Caenorhabditis elegans: one gene and its partner. The protein of the gene in region 1 purifies or fractionates together with the protein of each later gene. This does not show direct contact. Each region holds a gene or a part of one and is shown in the gene's direction. Other genes may lie near its edges.

Region 1 (3,671 bases):
CTATTCACATTTTGTCAATTTCTATTCATTGGAGGACCCGAGCTTGGCGGATATTTTAAAGGATAGAGGTATTATGAAACTTGTGAAGAGGGTGAGTTTTTTTTTTTAAAGTATACTTTAATGTCAATTACTTTTACAGTGAATTTTACAATAAAATAAAAAAAAACTATTTTGGAAAAAAACTAAAATTATGAATTCCTAGTTTCTTAGTTTTTTCGTTTTCTGGGTGGGAATATTTTTTTTTGATACTTGATACTTCACAATTTACCAAAAATCGACACTTCTGTTTCTTGCGGAACAATTTCTGAAAAATAGAAAAAATATTTTTGAAAAAAGGTATCAAAGAAAAATTTTATAAGTTTTAGCCCAAAAGAAACTTACTGAAACTCTTAAATTGGTTTGAAAACCGAAAATGTATCTTTTATTTTTAAAACATTTTTCATAAGTATGTGCGAATTTGACAAATAATGAATAAATTTGGGCGGGAATGTGAAAATGGTTAAGCCAAATTGATTTTTGTTGCGAATATTGAAAACACAGAACAATTTAGAAAAAAATAACAATTTTTCACAACTATACCTTCAAATAAAATATACTTCTAGACACCCAAGACACTCAACGACGTCGACCAATGGTCAATTATGATGGCATATTCTCGAATATCATATTTTCTAGATTTCAACTTTATTCGAGATCTAGATTCCAGTGACAAAAATACACTTTTCAAGTATAATATCTCGCGAGCTGGGTGCCTAGCACTTGCCAAGTGCGCATTCAATGAAAACAAACCGAAGTTAACATTTCCAAACGATGTTGATGCTTTTCCATCTGAAATGTATAATCTTTGTGGAAGTTCTACAGCTGTTCTGAATCAAGTGTCGGGACAAGTGATCGCCAAGTTTGTTGAATTGAAAATCAAAGATGAGGAGTACTTACTTCTTATATTGGTCATGTTTTGCAATCCATGTAAGTTTCCGGTTTTGAAATGTTCGAATTTTTTTTTGAAAAATACCATTTAACAAGTTTTCACATTCCTTAATCTTACTTTTACAGCAATATCGAATGACTTCTCTGACAAAACGAAACTCGCTTTATCTTCCCACCAACAAGCTTTTTGCTCTGCTTTGTTCCGTTATTGCCAGATAAATTATTCAAAATCTGCACCAACTCGGTTCACGGAACTTTTATCACTTTTTGGAATTGTCAACAAATCGGTGGACAATATGAACAATTTGAGCATGATGCTACAATTTTGTGAGCCGAAATTTCAATTTAAACGGATTATGCAAGATCTTTTTTCTAATTCATTATTATAATGTTTTATTCCATAATAATATAAAATTGCTTACTTTTTTGTTAAAAAAACTGTCAGGCCTTATATTCGTCCATTGTTTTAACATATATTGGCTAATAAAAAGAGCAGGCATCTGAGACCACAAAGTCAAACCAAGTAAGCGTCTACTTGACGCCTGATTAATTCTAAGTTTTGGCTAAATCCAGCTTTTGAACAAAGTACGCACCTATTTGTGATTTACAACTGAACATCTAGCATTAATATTTGAAAGTGATTCTCTTATTTACACTTTTTCTTATTTTTGTCATCTCCAGTGTTAAGAAAAGCTTTATTTTCTCCAACTCTATAATTCTTCTATTATATAGTTATCTCACTCTACACATAAGTTTTGCTGAAAAATAATCTAGATTTAAACTCTCTGAACATGATGTGTCAATCTTGCATCCCATAACTTATCTTTAAACCATTTCGTTTTTGCATGCGTTAATCAAAACTTGTGAATCTTTTTTTCCAGAAATACCTGTTGCATTTTTTGAAATATTGATTAACTTACCCCATATAAAAATTATTAAGTTCCGTAACTGGAGTTTGGCTTTATGAATTGCTTGGTATGCTCAGCACGTGCATTCAATAGAAACTATGGAGTAAGTAAACATTATGCTAAAAAACCTCAAAACTTCTCATTCCAGGTAATGTCGTGTTTTGCCTGCAAAATGTTCTTCCGTAGAACTGTTTTCAAAAATATGTTATTCAATTGCAAATACTTTAAAAATTGCACTATCCACTACAAAACTCACCCGAAGTGCCGTGCTTGTCGATTCCAAAAATGCTTGAACATTGGCATGAAAGCAGCTTCCAAGAATGATAGAATAGTTAGTATTGGCAACTACGAAGATTACAATTTTGACAAATTATTGAATGATTTGATTGTGAAAAATGATAAAAACTATTCAAATTTTATTGATTTCTATTCGTTGGAGGATCCGAGCTTGAAGGATATTATAGAGGATAGAAGTATTATGAAACTTGTGAGAAGGGTTAGTTGCTCATTTTTCGATAAGTTTTATTTCAGATTAGCAGAAGAAATAGAGCGGATCTAACTAGAAAAGAATCCCAATGCCTAAGCTTGAGTAACATATATATTTTCAGACACCCGAGACACTCAACGACGTCGACCAATGGTCGAATATGCTGGCATACTCTCGAATATCTTATTTTCTAGATTTCAACTTTATTCGAGAACTAGATTCCAGCGACAAGAATACACTGTTCAAGTATAATGTCTCGCGAGCAGGGTGCTTAGCACTTGCCATGTGTGCATACAGTGAAAACAAACCAAAGTTAACATTTCCAAACGATGTTGATATTTTTCCATCTGAAATGTATAATCTTTGTGGAAGTTCTACAGCTGTTCTGAATCAAGTGTCGGGGCAAGTCATCGCCAAGTTTATCGAATTGGAAATCAGACAAGAAGAGTATCTGCTGCTATTATTGGTCATGTTTTGCAATGCATGTAAGTTTCAGTTTTAGAAATTGTTTTTTTTTTGAAAATATCATTTAACTAGTTTTCACATTTCATAATCTTTAATTTACAGCAATAACCAATAACTTCTCCCACAAGACAAAACTCATTCTATCATCCCACCAACAGGTTTACTGCTCTGCCTTGTTCCGTTATTGCCAGCTGAAATATTCAAAATCTGCACCAACTCGGTTCACAGAGCTTCTATCAGTTTTTGGAATAGTTAACAAATCTGTGAATAACATGAGCTTTTTGAGCATGATGGTGCAATGTTATAATCCAAAATTTAATTTTAAACGGCTAATGCAAGATATTTTCTCTCATACATTGTCATAATGAATTTTTTTTGTCTGTTTTTCAAACGTTTACTGGTTTTTATTAATAAAAAAAATTAAGAATTGTTTGTGTTTCTAAAATTAGGTATAAGAGATGGTGCGAATCTTAAGGTTTTCCAATTCTAACTTATGACGAGAAAATTTTTTTGGATCAAACTATATATCAACTTTATGAATAGAGAACATTTTTTGAACTTTCTGATCCAAAATACATACGTAATTCATTTATTTTTAAGATATTTCATACTCGTGCCATATACTTTTCTGTCTGGGTGATGACTGAATGTGATCTCGCTTGTGCTTCAAATTCTTCATTTTGAAAAAAAAAAAACTTTTCACGTTTACTCACTTTTTTTAGTTTTTTTTCCAGTTTTGAAAAAAAACTACAATTTGAGTTTGACATTATGCATTGCTTGGTATGCTCTGGACGTGCAACCAATAGAAACTATGGCGTAAGTCTCGAAAACTGCTTGATGACCTCGAAAACTGCTTGATGACATGTAGATCAAACCACAAAAAT
Region 2 (4,490 bases), on another chromosome or scaffold:
ACAGAAACGAAACGAAAACCATATCAATTCCCCCAAAAATCCAAAAATTTTTTTTGCAAAAAAGTGCAGTCATATGCTTGTTGAAATTGGAATTCAAGACAAAAACCCCTGTAGCGCGGCTGGGATGGAATATCTAGGTTCCAGAAATGTACCCCTGATATTAAAAAAAATTAGCAATTTTTTACCATATCAATTCCCCAAAAAATCCAAATTTTTTTTTTGCAAAAAAGTGCAGTCATATGCCTGTTGAAATTGGAATTCAAAAATTAGGTCCTCGGTGACTGCGACAAAAATGTTTGTTTGTTTTTTCTGGGCGTGTTTTTTTTCCTTTTTTTTTTGGGATGAAAAAATTCGCAAAAAATTTTCCTCCCGTACAATCGACAATTCATTCAAACCAATTAGTTTTGAACTCTCCTGTGAATGCTACAAAAAACTATATTTATTCTTCATTTGGCTTCTCACTAGTTCTCGCGATTCTCTTTGATCGAGAAATGTAATTTGTTGCTTGGAACAGAAAAGTGGAAAAGGGTAATACATGGCCTCTTTTCCTGTGTCTTTTTCCGCCGATTTCGTGAACATTAATTTACCCGCAACCGTTTGATGCGCCGTTTGCCCTAATTTTCCGTTTCTTGACTGTTACTCAATGAACAGATTGAATTCTCTCTCTCTCTCTCTTTCTTTTTTCACTTCTTAATTATTGTTTGCTATCCAACACCTACTTTTGTTTTTGTATTTGATGTTCTTTATTCTTGTTACTTTAAATTTGAAAAAAAAACGAATTTTTAAAAAATAGGGTTTGTCAATTTGTACAAGGAAACGGAATTTTTTCGTTCAAAGTTTCAAAACAAGACGTATGCCCATCAGATTATTTTGTTTAAACGAGCTTACGCAAAACACTTTTAGCTGTAAAGCTCCTACTTCAAAAATTTTAATTTCAACTTGAAAAAAGTTCAGCACATTTTCCCCAACTACCGAAATCTGAAAAATTGCGCCAAAAGTCGTTTCTTATACATTTGAAGTTTTCAGAACGTTTTAAATTGGCAAACATTCGGGAACTGTATTGATGGTGCTTATTATCCTCAAAGTTGGACTAGTGCCAGCGGGGAAATTGTTTTAAAACATGCCTATGGTACCCCAATGACCAAATATCATAGTAAAAAAAATTTTTTTTTAATTTTTGCTAAATTTTTATATGATTTTTTGAAAGTTGAAAAAATCTCGAATTGCATCAAATTCCCACTTGAATTGCCGCCAATAGTTCGATGTTCAATGGAGTGCGCTTGCCATATTTTTATCAATTTTTCTCATTTATGTCTGAATTTTAATTTTTTTTTTCGTGTAATTTTAGTGAAAATTTAGTGAAAAATTCAAGATAAATGTAAATTCTTTATCAAAAAGAGGACAGTGAAGCGTAAACCTGTGCAATTGATTGTTTCAGGCTCGACGTCGTTGGAATACGTTCTTTCTTTGTTTTTCAATTGTTTTCAATGCACAATATACATTTGTGTTGAATTTTTCACTAAATTTCTACTTAGATTACACGAAAAACATCAAAAATCTGTCAAAAATGAGAAAAATTTATTTAAAAAAATGTATATTTCAAGCACACTCCATCGAACATTGAACTATTGGCGGTAATTCAAATGGGAATTTGATGTAATTCGGGTTTTTTTCAACTTTCAAAAAATCATATAAAATTTAGACTAATTTTTTAAATTTTTTTTACTATGATATTTGGTCATTGTGTTACCATAGGCATGCCTTAAAGTAATTTTCCCACTGGCGCTACTCCACCTTTAAGCCCAGATTCTCTGAAAAATTAGAACATTTTTTGACTAAATCATTTTGAATGGTCAAAAGATGTAAATTTCAAACATTTTTTATAACCTATTTTCAAGATTATTTTTCAATTGACACAACTTGTAAATCTTGCAGCTCTTGGTATCAGAATGCGTCTTCTATCGTCTTCATTGCTTGTCTTGTTTCTTACTCAGTTTGTATCGTCCGAAAAAAAATGTCCGGCTGTGAAAAAAGGTAACCTGAACGAAGTAAACGTTTAGGTATAAAATTGATTGCGCAAAAATCTCTTAAAATCAATTGTTGTAAAAACAAAATCATGAAAATTGACTAGTGAGTTTTTATCGCTTTTTGACTTGAAATAAAACATTTTCAAAAATCGTTTGAAACGTTTTATTAGTCATTTTAGCAACATTGAAATAGGTTTTGAAAATGTACCAAATGTCGTGCTTAACCTTTACAATAACTCAAAATTAAGGCCCGTTCACTCAAGTTCCCATAATATATCTGGAATGGAAAAAAATACAACATTTCTTAGTGAGTCTACAACAGGGCTAGCAAATTGGACGAATTGGGTATAAAACGCGTCCCGTTGTCCGGTTTTAACCCGATTCGCCATATTCTACACATATATATATATATATATATATATATATATATATATATATATATATATATATATATATATATATATATATCAGCTTTGCTCTATGTTAATACATGCGTACAAAAAACATTGGTTTTCAGGGGCTTGCTGCACAGCACCTATCACCCCAGGATGTCGACTTCCCCGACAATGTTATAAATACATAATGTCAAACTGTCCAGACAGAAAAATTGCAGTTTTTTCCAGAAAAGTTGGAAATGATCGCCGCTCTGCTCCGAGAAAACCGTTGGTCAGTTTTATTTTGTACTGATATAATTGTTTGAGCCCAAGCTAATTATCTTAAGCTCGAGCATTTGGGCTCGAGCTCTAGCATCTCGGCAGCAGCATTTGGGCTCCTAATATTTCAGCTCTGAGGTTAAAAAAATACATGATTTCCATTAGTACTGTTCCAAAACAATTGTTTGATAATTAAGGGCAAATGTGGAACATCGGAGGTAAACTATCAACCATGCACTTCCAAGGGAATTGCGAACAAACTCTTTTTGTCGTGCTGTCAATTGTATGTTCCAGAAGAATGCCATCACATGTGTGTGTACGAAACTGATCAGTCGGTTACTAGAAATATGGTAAGTGTCCAAAGTAAATTCAAAATAGTAAGTTGCCTAACGTTATAAATGACAATAAAACAATTGTGTTGTGAGTACCTCTTTTATATTTCCAAAAACAAACTTTTTGCAGCTGACCAACATGCGGAAAGATAGCCAGTGCCGAATTAAACACCTGTCGTCAATTTTGTACTGTGCCAGCCAGAACAGAGATAATAGGAAATGCTGCTTGGATTTAGATCTCAATGCCCCTCAACTTCAGGTATATAAATAACTTGGAAGATTTTTTTGGAAAGAGTTTTCTATGGTGTGTAATTAATTGGTTATATCTCAAAAACCGGTAAAATATACATGTAAGGTTGTATATGCGCTTCTCAAAACACTGTTTTGCCTCACTGGTTCAGGTTATTAAGAAAACTGCTCCTATGAAAACTTCTCAGTCTCAAGTTACAGATGTTCCAAAAAGAATTGACAAAAATGAGCTCGCAAGGTGTCGGGCGTTGTATCTCTTGACTTTAATGTTTTGAAACGTTGAAACATGTGTGTTAAGATGTAGATCACATATTGGGCAACAGTTAATCAGTTCAACTTTTCTTTCAAAATTTCCTAACTTGAGGTATACTCATTTGAAAACTATGGCAAATTAGCGCGGCGCGGAACCCAGATAGTGTTGGCTGCGTGGGGCGCCGTATCATGGAAACCCGTTTATGTCAACTAATGATAATAAAAACTTAGGTTGGATCTCGTTGCTTGCGAATGTGTGATCCATCGGGTACTTCAATCGATAGAATAACCAAGGAAGATGTGACTTGCCTGTATAATTGGAATGTTATTATGTACTGTCATCATGCCGGAATACGCGAAATGTAACTCAACCACTTCATTTATTTATCTTTTTTAAGTTCACCCTTCAGCATACCAAAGGTTACATTTTTGCAGCAGTGCACTTATAATGTTGATAATAATAAAATATTAATTGGAATATGATGTTTGTTATCTTATCAGGCAATAGTCGACATTGATAAAAATTGGAAGATTGCTTTCAAATTGATTTTTTTTTCCAATTATTTTACTTTTTGAAACATTTCATTTTACAATTCTATTGTTCCTTGAGAAAAAAACGTCATAAGTTTTGATTTTTTGCAATGCGTTCAGTTATTTTCTGAACGAAACGTATTTCATTTGAAAGGACTTCTTCTCAATAGTCCACTACAAATAATTTTTATGCATATTCAGGTCAAATGTTTATTTTATGAAGTTTCATAGACATGGAGACATTTTTATATCTTTCAAGACAGCCTTTCAAAAAATTAGTGAAATTGTTTAATCAAGTCCATTAAAAATGTTAAATAAGTAAAATGTTTGTCGAATTTTTTGAATGTTTTTTTTGAGTTACTGGAGAATGAATCAAATGATTTAAAGTGGTCGTTTTTTACAGTAAAAAAGTATTATATTTTGAATGACTAATGTATTTATTTGAT

What was found.
Region 2: the proteins of nhr-268 (region 1) and dbd-18 fractionate together in Caenorhabditis elegans (co-fractionation; one large-scale study listed by BioGRID). This does not show direct contact.

What each region holds. Positions count from the first base shown.
Region 1 is NC_003283.11:15,688,444-15,692,114, forward strand, and holds nhr-268 (Nuclear hormone receptor family member nhr-268), read left to right. Parts: upstream 1-1,808; 5' UTR 1,809-1,890; coding exon 1,891-1,938; intron 1,939-1,983; coding exon 1,984-2,331; intron 2,332-2,443; coding exon 2,444-2,807; intron 2,808-2,889; coding exon 2,890-3,152; 3' UTR 3,153-3,163; downstream 3,164-3,671. Other genes in the region: Nuclear hormone receptor family member nhr-197, read left to right, coding at 1-91, 603-966, 1,054-1,316. UniProt on the Caenorhabditis elegans protein: Orphan nuclear receptor.
Region 2 is NC_003284.9:295,299-299,788, forward strand, and holds dbd-18 (DB domain-containing protein), read left to right. Parts: upstream 1-1,935; 5' UTR 1,936-1,949; coding exon 1,950-2,034; intron 2,035-2,544; coding exon 2,545-2,693; intron 2,694-2,877; coding exon 2,878-3,030; intron 3,031-3,142; coding exon 3,143-3,271; intron 3,272-3,744; coding exon 3,745-3,879; 3' UTR 3,880-3,989; downstream 3,990-4,490.